Linked DNA regions of Oreochromis niloticus. The protein of the gene in region 1 purifies or fractionates together with the protein of each later gene. This does not show direct contact. Links are inferred from orthologs where the notes say so. Each region holds a gene or a part of one and is shown on either strand. Other genes may lie near its edges. The genes, in order: acaa2 and pgd.

Region 1 (8,770 bases):
CATGACGAGCAATGTAGGGTGCATCAGCTGAGCTCTGAACGTAGGGAAGTGGATCAGAAACAAAATGTAAGATACAGTAGTCAGATCATTTATAATTAATCCTTTCAGTGTTGTATGTGTGATCAGTACCTGCATGACATTTCCTATGATGATGCTGTTTACAAGCTCTGGGACCACACCCCCTGCAGCGAGGGCAGCTTTGGCTGCATGTTCAGCCAAGTCTGTTGCACTGTGATCCTTCAGTACTCCACCATAGGTACCAAATGGAGTTCGCTTGGCAGCTACAATAAATACACCTAGGAAAAAACGAGCATTTTAGTTTGGAGTTAACACCACCCACCACTGAGCTACAGCCAGATTGTAGCGGGGGACAGAGAGAGAAGATTTGTGAAGGGATAATTAGCACTAACGCAACATGATTTACAGGGTGTTGAAATAGAGCTGCGTCTGATTTCTTGTTTTCAATTCTTTGTTGATGTTGATGTTGAAGTTAAAGTTCCTGTTTAGGTTTTCTCCTATAGTGTTTCTGTTGTTATTTCCTGACAGTGACTTTGATTTATTCCTTCATCGCTGTGTATGTATGGTTCACTAGTGAGTTTTGTTCTTCGTATTTTCTGATGTTTGGTTTTATGATGAGTACATGTAGCCACGGTCTTCCCTGTGTTTCTATTTGCTGCTTCCCTCTGTCTCATTCTGGTCACTTTTGTTTAATTGTCTTGTTTGGCTTATTAAATGTTAGTATGACCCTCTCTGTTACTTCCTATTTTACTTTAAAGGATTGTTTTCTTTCATGTTGTGAGTCATTTTTTCATCCTGTCTGCAGTCCCCTGATTCCCCCCATTGTTTTCACCTGCTGGTGATTGTGTTCGCCTTTGTTCCGCTCCCGCATGTTTCTCATCAGTGATCTCATTCTGTGTATATATAGCTTTGTCCTTCTTTTCTCCTATCTGTTTGGGTTGCTTTGTACAGAGGCCTGAGGCCTGTATAGCAAAGTAGGAGTTTGTCTTACCTGGTTAATGTCAAGATTACCCTAAGTTTTTTGTGTTATAACGGTGGATCAAGATGTTAGGTTTTGTGCAGGGAACTAAACCTGCTCTGGTGTAGGTTATGTTCCATGATAAAGATCAACAGGTGCTACCTAGTGACAAAATAATTCTCTATAAAAAATACTGTCATCATTCCTGGATCCTGGTCCTTCTGTTTCCATGTTGATCAGTAACTTTATTATTTCTTCCTGTTGGCTGCTGGTAACTTATTCATGCTTGTAGAACATTTGATTTATAGGAATGAATGATTCTAAAACAGTTCACCTATTTGTAGCCTACTCGCTAAGTGTATTTCAAATTTGTATGTAGACAAAGCCTCCATCTGAATTCTGTTTCTTTCATTTTTACTTGCTCTCAGACTAAATGCCTCTGAAGCAGCAGCTGAAAGAAAATCTAAAACTGTCACTAAAACATTAATTCAAGCTAATATTTACTTACTACAGCTGGAGCCCTGGTGAGGTTTTAACAGTCTGAGAGCAAGTAAAGAATAAATTAAAACAGAATTCAAATTTGGAATAAACTGAAACTCGGAATTTAGACCCATCTGCACACAGGGATCTGAGAAATCTTCCAGGAATAGTGATGCCATTTCATTTCATACCTGTCCTCTAATCTGAAGTAGGTTTTCAGGAGCTACTCTGGCAATATACCCTGTAAGAGATTCACCTTGGTGCAGAAAACCTGGGGTTAAACCTGAGGTTCCCTGGCTAAGATGAAATCCTGTTTTGTAGCACGGGCCTCAGCTCCTGTCAGGTTGGTGTATGTTCTTTTTTTTCTCTTTAAATTCACTGTTTCTGCATTTGGGGCCTGATTGATAATCTGCCAAAAATTGATCTGGAAGTCACAGCAACATTTTTGAGAGGAAAAAAAAAAAGGGTTTAAAGTTCACAGTACCTTAATAGGAATGATCTCTATTTTGAAATGCTGCACTGATGGACCTTTTTTAGTTTTAGAGGGACACTGAACTATCGACTAATGTCTGCTACGTGTCAGGAAATGCGGGATGCTTTGACCTAGAATTGAGTTTGCAAATATTATAGTAACACCTGACGCATACAGCTGGAGTCTGTTTAATGTTGAGTAATATGTTCCCTCCACTCTGAATGGGGGCACTGGACCAAACTCAGAGATTTGTGAATTAATAAAAATGTATTTATTTATAAATCCACTATAAAGCTTTTTTGACTAGTCATTTTGTTTACCTTTTTGAAACTGATAGGTTTAAGCAGAAAAGTTAAACATAAAATAATGCAATGAATTTGCAGCAGAAAGTATTAAAGAGGACTGCATAAGTGGTTAATTAGACAACAGTAGTGACAAGCTGTTGAAACTCTTTGGTTATCAATACTTTCGTGGATAATTACTTAGTGTTTAAATGGAATAATAACTCAAAGGAGTGATTGAATGGCTGGGCATGTAAGATGGGGGAAAAAATGTTGGGAGCTGCTGATATGTTGCATATAAAATGGCTCAATGACCAGTAATCCAAAGTCCTTATAGATAATTTCTTTAAACATTTACTCCATATTCATGATGTAATTGCCATATGAGGAAAAACTCAAATGAAATACTGCTACCCAACTTTTTTGATGTTCTATCCTTTTTTTCGATGATATATAAACACATAATATGGAAAAATACGAATAGCAAAATCAGGAAACACAATAATGCAAATTAAGTAATGTATGTGGAACATGCAATGTATATTTGTAATCTATTAAACAGATAATTAAAACAGATTTAAAGCACGGTTTCACCTTCACTTAGGTAAACGCATCACAGCATATGCTACAGCATATACCTTCAGCTGTAATATTCACACACATGAATATTACAGCTGAAAGCTGTAATTTTCTAAACCAAAAAAGTGTGGGCATAACAAAAGCAAACCGGTGTCCTCAAAGTTGTGAAAGGTTTCTGATTAAATGTTCAAATACATGTTTACAGTTTTGAGTTGAGTAGCAGGAAGGAGCAGCTGTTTAAATAATACTGCCACCATCTTGTCACCTTTCGCCTACATTGCAGTGAAACTATGTGGAAACGAGCCTTCTTTGCATATAAAATGAATAAAAAGGTCGATTTTAAAGCACTGTTGCACAGCAGTGTGACCCAGATACTTTCAAACGCCCCACCAGAAAATCCCGTCCCAGAGGTCTTACTGCTGAAATGAACTGAATGGTGTTTGTTTACCTCTGAGAAGTGCCATGATGCAGACTCAACAATCCAGCGATGACCGGATCAAAGTTTTAGGCTGATATCTCGCTGCGTGGAGGATATAAAAGCCTGAGACCACTGTGACCTTTCCCCCAAATACTGCAGCTCGGTAACGTTTTACTCCTCCATGAAGATTCAACAAAATATTTACACATAAATATCTACACAACGCAATGTTACTATTTTTTTTTACTGTTTATCTTATTGTTTTATTAATTAATATATTAGCGGATTATCACATATCCAATATCTGTCTCTGATTTTTTTTTTTCAAGCTTTTTAAATAAGCGAAAGTGCGGACGTTGAAGTGTGCGCCCGCCTGTTTGAAGCGTCATCTTTCAGCGACGTGTGTGTGGGGGGCTGTCACTCCAGGGGACGACATGTGAATGTTTGTTGTCCTGGACCCAAAACTGAGTTAAAGGAGGAAACGGAAACGTAATTAAAACATGTCTTTGGCTCTTTCGCGATGTCTTTGCAGGGTTTTATCGCGGCAGGCCATGCCGTCGAGGTGAGTGATTGATGTACGATGTGAACGAAGTGCGTTAGCTGTGTGGAGCTAATATAGCTAAGGTTATTCAGTGCTTTAATAGAGAAGAAGTGTGCTTGTTCAGTAACAAAGGTGATGAGCAGAGCTGTCGTGACTACAGAGGGATGTAGCTGTTGAGAGTATGGTTTCATGCTGAGAAAGAGTACAGATGCGATCTTTGCTTTGATACTGTTGATGGAGAAGTATAGAGAAGGTCAGAAGAAGTTTCACTGTGCATTTATGAATCTAGATAAACCATATGATGGGGTGCCAAGAGAAGTACCAGGGTGGTGCAGGACATGTATGAGGACAGATAAACAGTGGTGAAGTGTGCGGTAGGAATGACAGATGGGCTCGACCTGGATCAGCATCAGGGAACTGCTCTGTGCCCCTTCTTGTTTGCAATGAAGATGGATAGATTAGGTCAGTCAGGAGTCTCTGTGCACTATAATATTTGCAGACGACATTGTGATCTGTACCAAAAGTAGAGAGCAGGTGAAAGAGAGCTTGGAGAGGTGAATGTCTGCTTTGAAAGATGGGAAATGAAAATCAAAAGCAGGACAGAACACGTGTGTGAGTGAGAGGCAGACAACTGTGCTCATGAGGCTGAAAAGAGCAAAGATTGTGAAGGTGGATGGTTAAATACCTGGGGTTAAACATCCAAAGCAAATGACAGTGCACAAAAGAGATGGAAAAAGAGAGTGCAGGCAGGGTGGAGATGAGCATCAGGGGTGATTTGTGACAGAAGTGAAAGAGAAGGTTTACAAGATGGTAGTTGGAGAGTGGCATCAATAAAAAGACAGGAGACTGAGCCGGAGGCGACAGAGATGAAGATGTTAAAATTTTCACTGGGAGTGGCCAGGATTGAAAATGTTTGTAGACAAGCATCTTATTTGCAGCAAGGATAGTAGCACTCTTAAGACTGTCTTCTTCAAAGAATATACAAACTTAGTAGAGAAATGACCTGTACTCTATTCTGCAGCTCTCTGTTGGGAGAACATCACCATCTTGTACAGAGTCCTTGGTTTGCACCAGTGATGACCCTGAAGACATCTGCTCCACTGAGGTATGATTCAGGCTCAGGCTCACAAACCAAGTCATGACCGAGGTTTACCACAATTGTCATTTCATCAATATTTTAAATTAAAAACTTAATCCACCAATGTTATGATGGTTTGTGATGCTAACAGTACTTCTCAGCAAAGCTCTATCTTGTGGCTGAATATATTAACATAGAGGTGTGATCTGTGTTATTCAAGAGCTGAGCCAAAAAAGAAGAAGAAAGTTGACCCGAGAAGGGAACAGATGTTGAGAGAGCGCCTGAAAAAGAAGCTGAAGAAACTGGAGAAAGTTCCACCTGAGCTTATCCCCATAGAGGACTTCGTCACTCCAACCAAATGCTTGGATGAAACAAGGTGGAGCTCATTTCAGTCTATGTGCATAAATGTCATTTGAGATAATGAGGTCAAATTTGTATTGAAACATTAACTTACAGTGCTCAGTATGATAACACACATTAAATTTCTTCTTGTCAGCAAATGAACTAAAGCTGCTGGGCAGGTATGGATCATCAGAAGCAGGGCATTTTTTGAAGATCATTAGAACGGATAAGCAATGTGATTTTATTCCTAAATAGATCTGCTTGATCAACAGATCAAGCAGCTCTATAAATCCAATGTGTAAAATTAATGTGTCATGGCTCATACCACGGCATCCTTTGAGAACGCTGTGCTCCACAGCCAGTGAAGAAAATCTGAGCTGATGTCAACTCTGATGATTTCCACATCAGTTTAAAAATATTTTAATCTTATGTGTTTAAATCAGCTTTGTTGGATTGCACAAACTAATGAAAAAAAAAAGTCAAAAGCACTTATTGTGTGCTTTTTAAAAAAGTTTTATTATTCATGACATCTCACAGGTCAAGAATGGATTTGGCAATAATGCCCCAAGAGTGTTAACACAAACATTATCTATGTCAAGATAATGTAAATACTACTTTACTACAATTCTACAGGTCTCATTTACCCCATCGGATGCAGTTTTATCTACCCCGAAGCATTTTTCAACATTCATACACACTCCAATAGGTGCATTAGGGGCAATTTGCCAAGAACATTTTGCTGACTGGAGGAATCACAGACTGATCCTTTTGCCTTCTTTGCTAGACGACCAGCTCTACCACCTCAGCCACAGCTCATTTTCACAGAGAAATTGCCTTTGCAAAAGGTGGCTGAAGTTCTGAGACGTGATTGTTAGCTGATGTCTTCATAAGATAAGATAAGATAACCTTTATTAGTCCCACACGTGGGAAATTTGTTTTGTCACAGCAGGAAGTGGACAGTGCAAAAGTTATGAAGCAAAGATTAGAATAAAATAAGAATAAATACAGTACACAACTGTACATAATAGAATAAAATAAAATACTATATACAGTAGAATAAAATATACAATAAGATAAAAAGATAATGGTTTTATCAGTCTTTTTGCATTGAAGCTCTGGGACATTAAAACAGCTTTGAAACTTTTAAATTGCTCATTTGAATACCTTTCTTGGATAGAGCTTTTAAGTCCTTTAAATTGATGTTCATAATTCTCTTTCAAAGGGAACGCACTGCTCCAAGGCTGTCATTTGAAGAAAGTGAAGGTCGAGCCCTGCTGCTGAAGGAGTGGTGTCGATACAAACAGGTTACCACTTACCTATCGCACCTGCGTCACTAAAGCTTTTATGGAAAATGTTACATCTGACCCTGGCTCTCCATTGCATGCACTTAGTGGGTTGTGTCTGTCTGATGTTCTTGCAGAAGCAGCACATGGCTGAAGTGGAGGCTGTTGAACTGGCTTTGGAAGCACAGAGGGAGGCACTGGAGGAGCTGAAGCTGGAGTCTGAGGAGCTGTATCGGGCAGCGCTGAAGCCTGACCCGCTTCTTATTCCCTTTGTTCACGAAGGTCCCACATATACGCCAGCAATACCCAATTATGACGCTCCTGATGGGAAATACAACGATATCACTAAAGTTTACACACAGTGATAGATGAGGAATGGCTGTGTAGTTTAGTGTGTCTGAATGTTATTCACTAAGCAAAAATGCAGCTTCTGCGTCTTTATTCCTTCATTGTCATTCATTGTGTGAGAGTTACAGTGAGTTTGTGTCACATTAATATTTCTGTCTATAATAATGAAAGAAATCGAATAAAAATTTACATCTTTTTATTGATCCAGTTTCCAGAATCTTTTTGAACATGTCATGTTATAAGGCAGAAAACTGCTACACAACTCTGGATTCTGTCATGTCAATTTTTCAGTAAGATTAAACATCCCATAGACCTGACTCCAGCATCAAGAGCTACATAATTAACCTTTCTTAAAGTCAATTCATATGCTTAGCAGCTGACAAATACATATAGGCCTACCAGTACCATGCAAAGACCTGGCTCTTCACCTTTTTCAAAGAGAATGAAGCAGATCACTGATTACATGGATTGATTATATATCCTGTCAAAATAAGGATAATATAGAGCTAATTTTCACAGAGTCTCCGAGTGCAGTCGGTCTTTGTGCTTAAGTTTACACAAGCTTTGCAGAATTAGTACCTATGACACACCAGCCTGCCTGGAAAGAGATCATATTCACTGATAAAACAGAGGCTGAATCCTCATCGCTGACCACTAGCTGCTGTTAGACATACTGTACATATCATTTTACATACAGCAGTTCTCTGAATACAACTCATGACAGCTCGTGATCACAAGAATGTCCAGGCTCTTTAACTGAAACACAGCATGTTGTCAAAACTCGATGTTCAGGAGTCCTGAGGCTTCTCCTGGTTCAGTGGCACGTGCCAGTCTCTAGGAGGCTCCTGCCTGAGCTGCCACACTGGAATGAAGTTTCTTTGCTCTGCCACTCGGATTTTCTCACTTCTCCGCAACGCCTCCTGCAAGACAGATACAGTGAGTGTATTTATACAGCCTGGAGGGGATCACAAAGTCACCCATTTAGGACTTTAATTTCTTGCTGTTCCACCTTAGCCTCGGTGCCTCTATGTTTCTCCCACTCTCTGCAGTTATGGTAGTCCTCTTTCCACTGCTGGCAGGACGGCACGGTACCGTAAGTGTAGTAGTGGTGAAAGCAGTTTTTTAAACTTTTGCAGTGTCTAAACTCACTCCAGTAGTCTTCACATGCCCGCGGTGGCTGTGGCGACAAAGCAAACAAACATGAGAATAAAACTTTAAACTTCTGTTGGGATTCTGGTGACTGACATCAGTCGAGGTCTTCATTGTCTCCCCTCCAAAGGATGAAAGTAATGCAAGAGCAACTGAGGATCAACCTTTGTCCTTCACCTAGGCTAAAAATACAACCTCATTTCATACTGAAAACTCACCACGATGTGACATCTTTTGCGCATGCGGGCCGCTTTGAGCGTTCACACTAGAGCGCGTTTGCTGTCGCATTTTATTTGTAGTGTGAACGAGCAGACAAAAAAATCGGATTTGATCAAAAAATCGGAATTGAGCATTAAGACCTGCAGTGTGAACGTAGCCTTTGTTGGGTACACCTGTCTAACTACTTGTTACTAATAAAATAATCAACCAATCACATGGCAGCAACTGAAAAAGAGGAAATATACAGTGAGGGGCAGTTCTCTAAGCAAAAATACCTTGTCAACGTCAAAGGAGAATAGCCAGACTGATTCGGACTGAGAGGAAATCAACAGGGACTATCAAAAGTACCACCAAGATATGCAGAAGACCATCTCTAAATTCACGGCATGTCAAACCTTGAAGTAACAGAAGACCACACCGAGTGCCGCTCCCCAAGAACAGGAAACTGAGGCTACAGTTTGCACAGGTTCAACTACACTGGGCAAAGGAACACTGGAAAAACGCTGCCTGCTCTGACGAGTTCGAATTTCTGCAGCGACATTTGGCTGGTATGGTGAGAAGTTTATTGATGTTCATCTCACATTTCTGTCAGCAGCAAGTGTGT
Region 2 (9,000 bases), on another chromosome or scaffold:
CAGAGCTGTTTAACAAGTCCACTTTATACATGCTTATTAATCTATCACGCTTATCAGTGGCTCATGGTTGCTTAAAGCCTATGTCTGAACTTGAGCACAGAGCCAGAGCATCATTCAATCCTACCAGCAGCTCAAGGATGACAAACTCCACTTTCTCTGCATCAAGACAGCTCATAACTTTTTAACAGTCTCTCCTGATAGTCTCATATCATCTGCTCTAATCAATAACCGTACACTATAATTACAGTGTAGACTACAGCTCAAAAGTCTGGAGTGAATTAGAAATGTCTTGTTTTCTGAATAGACTCAAATTTGGTTTCAGATTGAATCACAGCAATTAATCAAAATAATCATATAAATGCTTAATATTAACACTGATCACAGATCATGAATGATTTTGAATAGAATATCTACAGAGGTGTTCAGAGACCCATTTTCAGCAATAATCCCTCCTGTGTTCAGTGGTACATTGTCTTATCTAATGCAAGTTTAACACATTAAAAGCCAAACTTATCACTCAAAACAGCTTTTTAAGAGACTTTAGCACAAACTGAAACTATTGTGGTGATTAAAGAAAGAATAAATGTGTCTGGATCATCCCAGTTGTTGTTTTTAACCTCATTAAACCAAGTTTACATTTTCCTGTAAAGGGGCTGCAACACCCAGCTGCACAAAACCTTCACTTTTTTAACAGTTTCACTCTTTGAATATTTTTCATTTCTTACAATCAGAATTCTCCAATAGATTTTTAGAAGAAAATTATTTTCTTTCATGCATCACCAACTGAACCTTTTATGTTAAAATTTCAAGCTGCAACCTAACCTCATTTAATTTTGCTTAGCACAGCACTTTTCAACTCTAATAATTAGTAAGAGTATATTTCTTATCATCTATTGGTCATCTGACCTGATAAACTTCAATGAACATTATAACACAGGACTGATTGTCTCTAAAAATGGGCTCCAGACATTTTTGCATCACAACTTATGGATGATGAATGATTTGATTCAAGCTGTGAAAACATTACTGATACACTTCATGAGATATTACATTCAAGCCAATTTTCTATTAAAATCAGGGACTTTTCTAACTGACCTCCGACCTTTGAGCAGTAGTGTGTACTGTATGCTTGTATGTAACTGTATCTGACCTGGATTTTATCACCAGTTTCAAATAAGAATTTTCTTTAAAGTCTGTCTTTAAATACAAATGAAGTTCAACTTTATCAAGGCTGATGGTAAACTGTCCCTAACAAGTCCACTTTATTGCGTGCTCATTGACTTTCTCCTATCAGAGCTGTTTAACAAGTCCACTTTATACATGCTTATTAATCTATCACGCTTATCAGTGGCTCATGGTTGCTTAAAGCCTATGTCTGAACTTGAGCACAGAGCCAGAGCATCATTCATCCTACCAGCAGCTCAAGGATGACAAACTCCACTTTCTCTGCATCAAGACAGCTCATAACTTTTTAACAGTCTCTCCTGATAGTCTCATATCATCTGCTCTAATCAATAACCGTACACTATAATTACAATGTAGACTACAGCTCAAAAGTCTGGAGTGAATTAGAAATGTCTTGTTTTCTGAATAGACTCAAATTTGGTTTCAGATTGAATCACAGCAATTAATCAAAAATAATCATATAAATGCTTAATATTAACACTGATTACAGATCATGTATGATTTTTAATAGAATATCTACAGAGGTGTTCAGAGACCCATTTTCAGCAATAATCCCTCCTGTGTTCAGTGGTACATTGTCTTATCTAATGCAAGTTTAACACATTAAAAGCCTAACTCTGCATTCAAAACACATTTTTACAAATATTTTTATCACAAACTGAAACTATTGTGGTGATTAAAGAAAGAATAAATGTGTCTCGATCATCCCAGTTTCATACATGGGATATTTTTTGTTTCTTACAATAAAAGTTATCCAATAGGTTTTTATAATAAAATGCTGGTTAAATAACAATAATTTTGCCACATTAGTATTTGGATTAACTCCAATATATTTATATCTATATACTCCAAACCTGTGGCATACCCAGCTGTACCATCCACGAAAACTGAAGTAATTTTAAAGATTCTGTTCATCAGCAGAATAGTTTTCAGTCTTATGCTAATGTCATACCTGAAAAGTTGGTTTTCACGTAGATTATCCTTTTGACAGGAGTGTTTAATGTTTTTTCATACTCACAGTTTTTGCCTTCTGCCTTCTGGTACCTTTGTTTGATCCACCCTTTGCTCTGCCCCATCTTGTTTCCTCTCCTCTTGCGTCTGCTGACATAACGGATCCAGCTCCTTCCTTGTTTCTGCCTTGAGTTGAAATCGAAATCATTATAGAGGTAAGATAAATCAGGAAACGTCTTCAAGTTGTAAGTACTGTTAATATTTTCAGCCTTATTCTAGCCATTAAATTTACTTGATTTGAGGAGAAGGTATATTTGGTGTGACAACATAACACAGTATTAGTTTTATGCAAGATTAAATCAAAGAGTCAAATCAAAGTTAGTTAACAAAACTATTATAAAACACAGTTATGTATCACATTTTATAACTTTCTAAATGTTTCAAACTACATTTAGAAAATGCATTTAAAAAATGCATTTTGAAAAATGCAAATCTGTTTGGCAGCATCAACCAGTTTAGTCAAAATACTAGCATTTTAGTACCACAAAATAAAGTCTTAACTCTTTCAGTGCATTACTGACACCTCATTAAACTAAGAAAAATTACAAATGAAAATTATTCAGTACAAAATGAAAATACATTTAAAGAGTCTGATTAGAGCAAAAAGACTGACATTTCATCATAACTGTTTTTCCAGTGTAGCTAAATAAAAAAAGTGATTTACTTGGAAAAACAATGCTGGGGAAATAATTTTAGCCACTTCCTAACACTGTACAGGAAATCTGACAAGAAAAAGATCAGCAAAAACAGTAGATCGGTCTTACCTCTTCAAAGGTGTCCTCAGAAGTGTGATCAGACCTGCTCTCCTGCAGATATGGTGCTGTTATGCTGTACTGTCATAGCAACCAGAATTCCAAAATCCTAGTGATGTTTACTGGACAGGACCACTCTCTGGTCCTGTAACAGCAGGAATTTAACTACAAACCCTCATCGCTCCCATCAGTGTTGTTCCTTCTGCACTGCAGCAGAGGAGGATTAAAGTAGTTTAAGCACTTTTTATTCCCAAACTGCTGATTTGTGGACCCCTGTGATAAATATTTAGACCTTCATATGTTTTAGTTTGCAGGAGTGGGCTGATTAAAATGTTTAAAACCTTTATCTCCATCTCATCTCAAACATTTTACCAATATGTATAAGCAGGACCAAAAGACAGCAAGCAATCATGAAACCACATATTAACATACACTAGACTTCAGTGAACACGTTTATGTATAAATTCACACAGTTCTAGTTTTTTATTCAATTGACAGGCAGCTAAATATCTTGAATGACCATCCCTCAATATGCACTTTATAAAAGCCCTAAATCTTGATTGTGTTTATCTGGACATAATGTTTTCAATGAGAAAAGTTTCTGATGCAAGTGACTCCTTCAGTCTCTGATTTACTTACATGGATGCCTGAGCACGCATCAAGACACTCTATAAAAGCTTACAAAACATGGGTGTTTTTCCTTCTTTAACTTTTTGTGAGGGTGGATACTTTTGCCTTTATTGGATAGTGCAGCAGTAAAGGAAGTGGAGGTGACATGTAGCCAAGAGCCAGGGTCAGACTTGAACCCAGGCTGCTGGATTGTGCCATATGACCACTTGTTCAAACAGCGAGCTAAACAGGCATTATTTTGACAGTAACATAAAAATTCTGATTGTATTTCCCTCCTACACATACAAACTGAAGTCAAAGTCAAGCATAAGACATGTGTAACTTTGTCTTTTCTATGATTTTTAATGTGTACTTGCTGTTGTGCATATTAATTTTGACATTGCCCAAAACAGAAACACAAACAACTTTTATTCTGAATAAATTTGTGTGATGGCCCTTAGTCCTCCATATCCGCTTACAGGTTATTGTGACTATTTAGATTAGGGGAGTGGCCTATTTAGAGTAATATTTGTCACTGTGCTTAATTCCTTAACTGAAGGTATATAAGGAGCTCAGCAATCACTTTCTGTCTCTCTCTCTTCCAGATGATTTGTTTTCTTGGGTTTTTCTTTCTTTCTTTTTTTTTTTAAACAAACTTTGTTCACAGCACAGGAACACCCATCGACACACTCTGCACACTGGTCCTCAGTTTTTCAGATGCCATTTATTTCCATTATACAGAAGAAAAGGCAAACATTTCAAACAAAGACAGCCAGAACATCTTTCTGTGCCAGAACGTGGGAAATATAACTTAACATGACAAGAATCAATGTGTACACTATCCTCTCTTTAACTGTCTGTAATGCATTGAGCTAGTTAGCAACAGGAAAATTGACTGCATATGCACTGAAATTATTACTGATTGTGCTGTTGCATAATCTACTAAAAATATATAGGCAATTCTTCTTTTAGAAAACTTGCTGGGCGTGTAATCATTATACTGAAATCATAAAATTTAGATGTTGTGATAAGAAAAACATTTGTGCCACGCACAGCTAAACAATGGGCATATCTTCCGCATTTGTGATTAAAAGATGAAATACACAATGTACTTGTTCAGATATTCACCAGAGAAAAAGAAAAAGGGATTCATGAACTTATAGATATATAGACATATAGTCTATTGTGGCGCAAGCGCAGCTCTCAGGTCTGACGGATTTGACCGCTGCCAGTAGAAACGAGGCATCCAACTGGGAGACTGACAAGTCAAAATGATGTTCTTAAGCTATACAGTCAAGACAAGTTTGACTGTATAGCGATACTTAAAGAGGAAAATTCATTTCTGAAACAGGTCTTTCTTCAAGCAGACGTATGGCGTGCACTGACGCTTCGTGAGTGACTTCCGGGGGAGCCAACAGGAGAAGCGATAGCTCTGCTCAGAATTCTAGACCAATCAAATTTAGTCTTGGACGTGGCTTGTTTGCAGGAAGCTCTTCGATTGGTTGTTGCTCTACGTGGGCGTACCTAAGAGTCTCAGTCAAGTTTAGATGAGAACGAGGAAGTGGAAAACGAGCAAGGAGGAAATCTAAGGGAAAGGACCGGTGTGCGAGCTCGACTGTCATTTTAACACAGTTACCTTACAGTTACTTTGCCTACAGAACACAATGGCCAAGTAAGTCCTTCACTAGTTTCTTTGTTTCTTTTTCTGTTGTTTCTTTTTTGTACAAAGTCGGGGCAATAGAAAGGTTATAACTACTAGTTGAGGTTCTTTTGTTTTTCTCCTTTGCTGAGAGTAATCTTCTTTAGTAGTTAATGCTAACGGTGCTGTTATCTTGTTATCTGACCGGGGTCAGCTTTAGAGTTTAGTAAAAATATGTGTGGTGTATGCAGCATTGAATTGGGTGATGGTCGCTATGGACTCTGGGAAATTAAAGGGATCTTCGGAGTGAGGACTCTGAAGCCCATGTTTTAATTTACTTGAAATAAAAATACACTGGATGACTAGATGCATACTAGACAGAAGGCTGTTTTGATGATAATTACCCTGAAGCCAGACTATCCGATCTTCTCACCTGTGATGTGATTCTTATTTCCTCAGAGCAGACATTGCACTGATTGGTTTGGCCGTCATGGGCCAGAACCTCATCATGAACATGAATGACCACGGCTTTGTGGTAAGTTGATGCCTCCTGTGTGTGTTGCTGCTACTCCCTGCATAACCTGTTCCACTTTTTTTCACTCATTCAATATCTTTCCAACAGGTCTGCGCTTACAACCGTACCGTGTCCAAGGTGCATGACTTCCTGCAGAACGAGGCTAAGGGCTCCAAGGTGATTGGAGCAGAATCTCTGGAAGACATGGTGTCCAAGCTCAAGAAGCCCAGGAGGATCATCCTGCTGGTCAAGGCTGGACAGGCTGTGGATGACTTCATTGACAAGCTGGTGAGCAGTCAGTCCTGAATTGGGCTAAAGTTTGGAAACTGCATCCAACCTGCATATATTTATTGGGTTTGTACTACATCTGTTCATTCTCAGGTTCCTCTTCTTGAGGCTGGGGACATCATCATTGATGGTGGCAACTCTGAATACAGAGACACGACAGTAAGTCATAAACATTCACTGTGGAACAAAACCTCTTTATTCCAGAGGATATCGTCATAGCTCATGTACTTCTATCCTATAGCGGCGGTGCAAGAGTCTGAAAGAGAAGGGCCTGCTGTTTGTTGGCAGTGGAGTGAGTGGTGGAGAGGAGGGTGCACGCTATGGACCCTCACTCATGCCTGGTGGACATAAAGAGGCCTGGTAAGTCGTCAGCTTCATTTCATGTGTGTTAAAAATCAGTGAACATTCATCAATTTCAGAGTGTAAGTTATTGTTTATTTTATAGGCCATACATAAAGGACATCTTCCAGAGCATCGCTGCCAAAGTTGGAACAGGAGAGCCTTGTTGTGACTGGGTGAGTGATATATTTTTTTTATTTTTTTTTTTAATCTGCGTGTATATTTAATGTTTATTAAAGATATATTTGTTATTATTATGCCAAGTCATCTAACAAATATTGTGTGGCTTGAGCAGGTTGGCGATGAGGGTGCAGGTCATTTTGTGAAAATGGTCCATAACGGCATTGAGTATGGAGATATGCAGCTGATCTGTGAGGCCTATCACCTAATGAAGGATGTCTTGGGTATGGACCATGATGAGATGGCACAGGTGCGCTTGTTGGACTTCTATGACACCACTTTCACATTTGTCTGGCAGTATTAATTATGTAAAATATAAAGACAATATGTGTTTTTGATTTTTTGTTTTGTTTTTTAAGGCTTTTGACAGCTGGAACAAGACGGAGCTGGACTCCTTCCTGATTGAGATCACAGCCAACATCCTTAAATACAAAGACTCTGACGGTAAACATCTGCTGCCCAAAATCCGCGACAGTGCTGGACAGAAAGGCACAGGGAAGTGGACGGCCATTTCAGCCCTCGAGTACGGGACACCTGTCACACTGATCGGTAAGAGGAAGAAAGGAGGCTTAAAGCAATGAACTACTCATAAAGGCTAGTGTCATGTACCAATTCCGCAAAAGCCACTTATCAAATTACCCTTTAATGATCAGATTTCTTGGGCTTATGCTTTTGATCTGTCAGCTGGCAAACACAGCATGGGCTGTGAGCTTCTTTTAGAGAATGTGATCAATATGTTGTTGCCTGTAAGAAGCTTGAAGGCTATTCTGATGGCCTCTGCATGTCAGGTGACATAAGGGGGATTTGGCTTTGGTCTTTGCTGTGACTGTATCATAGTCTGTTTTATAAACAGACCTAAACAAGAAGCAAGCTTTATATGATTAACTTTAAAATCATGCAGGGTAAACTATATGGAAAATGTATCCAATGTACCCACAAGTGAGATTTTTTTAAATTGCTGTGTTTGCTTGTTCCCTGTCTGTGTTGCATACCCTGCTGTAATAGAGAGTGATGGGTGCAGAATAAAAGGCTTCATTGTGTGAGAACTAAGCCCATCAGGGCGAAGCAGTATGCACAGGAGGCGCTCTCACCCAGCAGGGATCACATTCCTCACTAGGACAGTTTGACTCAGTCCATTGCGTTACAGAGCAGTGCAGGTTTTAGCAAGTCATGCTGACCCAACAGGTTTTTTTTTCCTACTCTCCTCAGTTAGTGGCAAGGAAACGATCCTCTCTAATCTGGGAAACCTTGAGTTTTGTCTACTGTAGCTTTGGCACGCCTGCTTTACCAAACCCTATTGCAAACACTGCTGAGTCATGCTGTCGCTCGAGCGTTGGCTGATAGCACAGGGTCACTGTGACTGTCAGCTTGGAAATTCTATGTAATGCTTTGTCATTTTTTTGAGATTTCAGGAAACCTAAATTACTATTTAAGAAAAAAAGAAGCTGAGCAGTTAGTTTATGTGACACTCAAAGCGCTGTGTGTAGTATGTGCACTAATGCTGTCCCTCTTCTTTCCTCTCCCTTCTCTCCTCCTGTTGTCTCCCAGGGGAGGCTGTCTTTGCCAGATGTCTGTCTTCTCTAAAGGATGAGAGAGTGGAGGCCAGCCGCAGCCTGTCAGGGCCACAGGGGGTCAAATTCAGCGGCAACAAGGCTACCTTCCTAGAAGACATCAGAAAGGTGAAACACACAGTAAATGCATTTACTCTAAATGGGCCAGTTTAGAGCAGCATGCCACAGAGAGGTCAAAGTAAAAATGTCTGTGCACCCTTTGAGATTACCAGGTATCAGAAGTGATGAATAAACATTACACTTTTCAGACCTACAAGTTTTAGCTGCTTCTGTCGAATTAAACACTTTTTATAAAACAAAAAAGACTAATTACTATTGAAAAATGTGAAAGTAATATGAAAATTGTTATGTTTTCATTTGTCCAGGCCCTGTATGCGTCCAAGATCATTTCCTACGCGCAGGGATTCATGCTGCTGCGTCAGGCAGCCAAAGAGTTCGGCTGGACGCTCAACTACGGTGCGATCGCCCTGATGTGGAGAGGAGGCTGCATCATTCGAAGGTACTTTTGCCCTCATGTGTCCACACAGCAGAAGTTTGCCTCACTTCCATGTTGTGCAAAAGTTTCAACACTGTTGTCCAAACAGTGGGGGCGAGGGTGTCTGAGAGCCCTTGTTAAGAAAGCTCGACTAAAACAGAAGTTTTTGTTGCTTGAGTAAGATTTAAGAACATTTGAGTTAAGCTGCAGTTTCTTTAGGTGCAAGAAAAACCTTTATGCAGTGCCATAAGGTTATAAAATCACCTTTTTGTCAATGCGTTGTGTTGTAATGTTGGAGTGAGAAAAGAGAGGAACAAAAGGACTCTTCCCATAAAATCATATTGAGAGAGAAGAATGAGGAAATTGTGATTGTGACACTGGTTTACTTTGTAATCTGGCACAGTCGTTGCGTAATCGCACATTTAACACTCATAATT

The links.
Region 2: the proteins of acaa2 (region 1) and pgd fractionate together in Homo sapiens (co-fractionation; 3 studies listed by BioGRID). This does not show direct contact. The link is inferred for Oreochromis niloticus from reciprocal best matches to the Homo sapiens genes ACAA2 and PGD.

What each region holds. Positions count from the first base shown.
Region 1 is NC_031977.2:25,890,336-25,899,105, reverse strand, and holds the start of acaa2 (3-ketoacyl-CoA thiolase, mitochondrial), read right to left. Parts: upstream 3,402-8,770; 5' UTR 3,253-3,401; coding exon 3,237-3,252; intron 297-3,236; coding exon 130-296; intron 35-129; coding exon 1-34. Other genes in the region: mrpl40 (large ribosomal subunit protein mL40), read left to right, coding at 3,707-3,768, 4,769-4,852, 5,046-5,201, 6,390-6,471, 6,588-6,815; lg12h22orf39 (synaptic plasticity regulator PANTS), read right to left, coding at 7,587-7,718, 7,808-7,975, 8,674-8,742. UniProt on the Homo sapiens protein: In the production of energy from fats, this is one of the enzymes that catalyzes the last step of the mitochondrial beta-oxidation pathway, an aerobic process breaking down fatty acids into acetyl-CoA.
Region 2 is NC_031984.2:22,177,464-22,186,463, forward strand, and holds the start of pgd (6-phosphogluconate dehydrogenase, decarboxylating), read left to right. Parts: upstream 1-5,071; 5' UTR 5,072-5,221; coding exon 5,222-5,229; intron 5,230-5,655; coding exon 5,656-5,731; intron 5,732-5,818; coding exon 5,819-5,998; intron 5,999-6,091; coding exon 6,092-6,157; intron 6,158-6,239; coding exon 6,240-6,358; intron 6,359-6,443; coding exon 6,444-6,513; intron 6,514-6,632; coding exon 6,633-6,767; intron 6,768-6,876; coding exon 6,877-7,066; intron 7,067-8,065; coding exon 8,066-8,196; intron 8,197-8,453; coding exon 8,454-8,587; intron 8,588-9,000. UniProt on the Homo sapiens protein: Catalyzes the oxidative decarboxylation of 6-phosphogluconate to ribulose 5-phosphate and CO(2), with concomitant reduction of NADP to NADPH.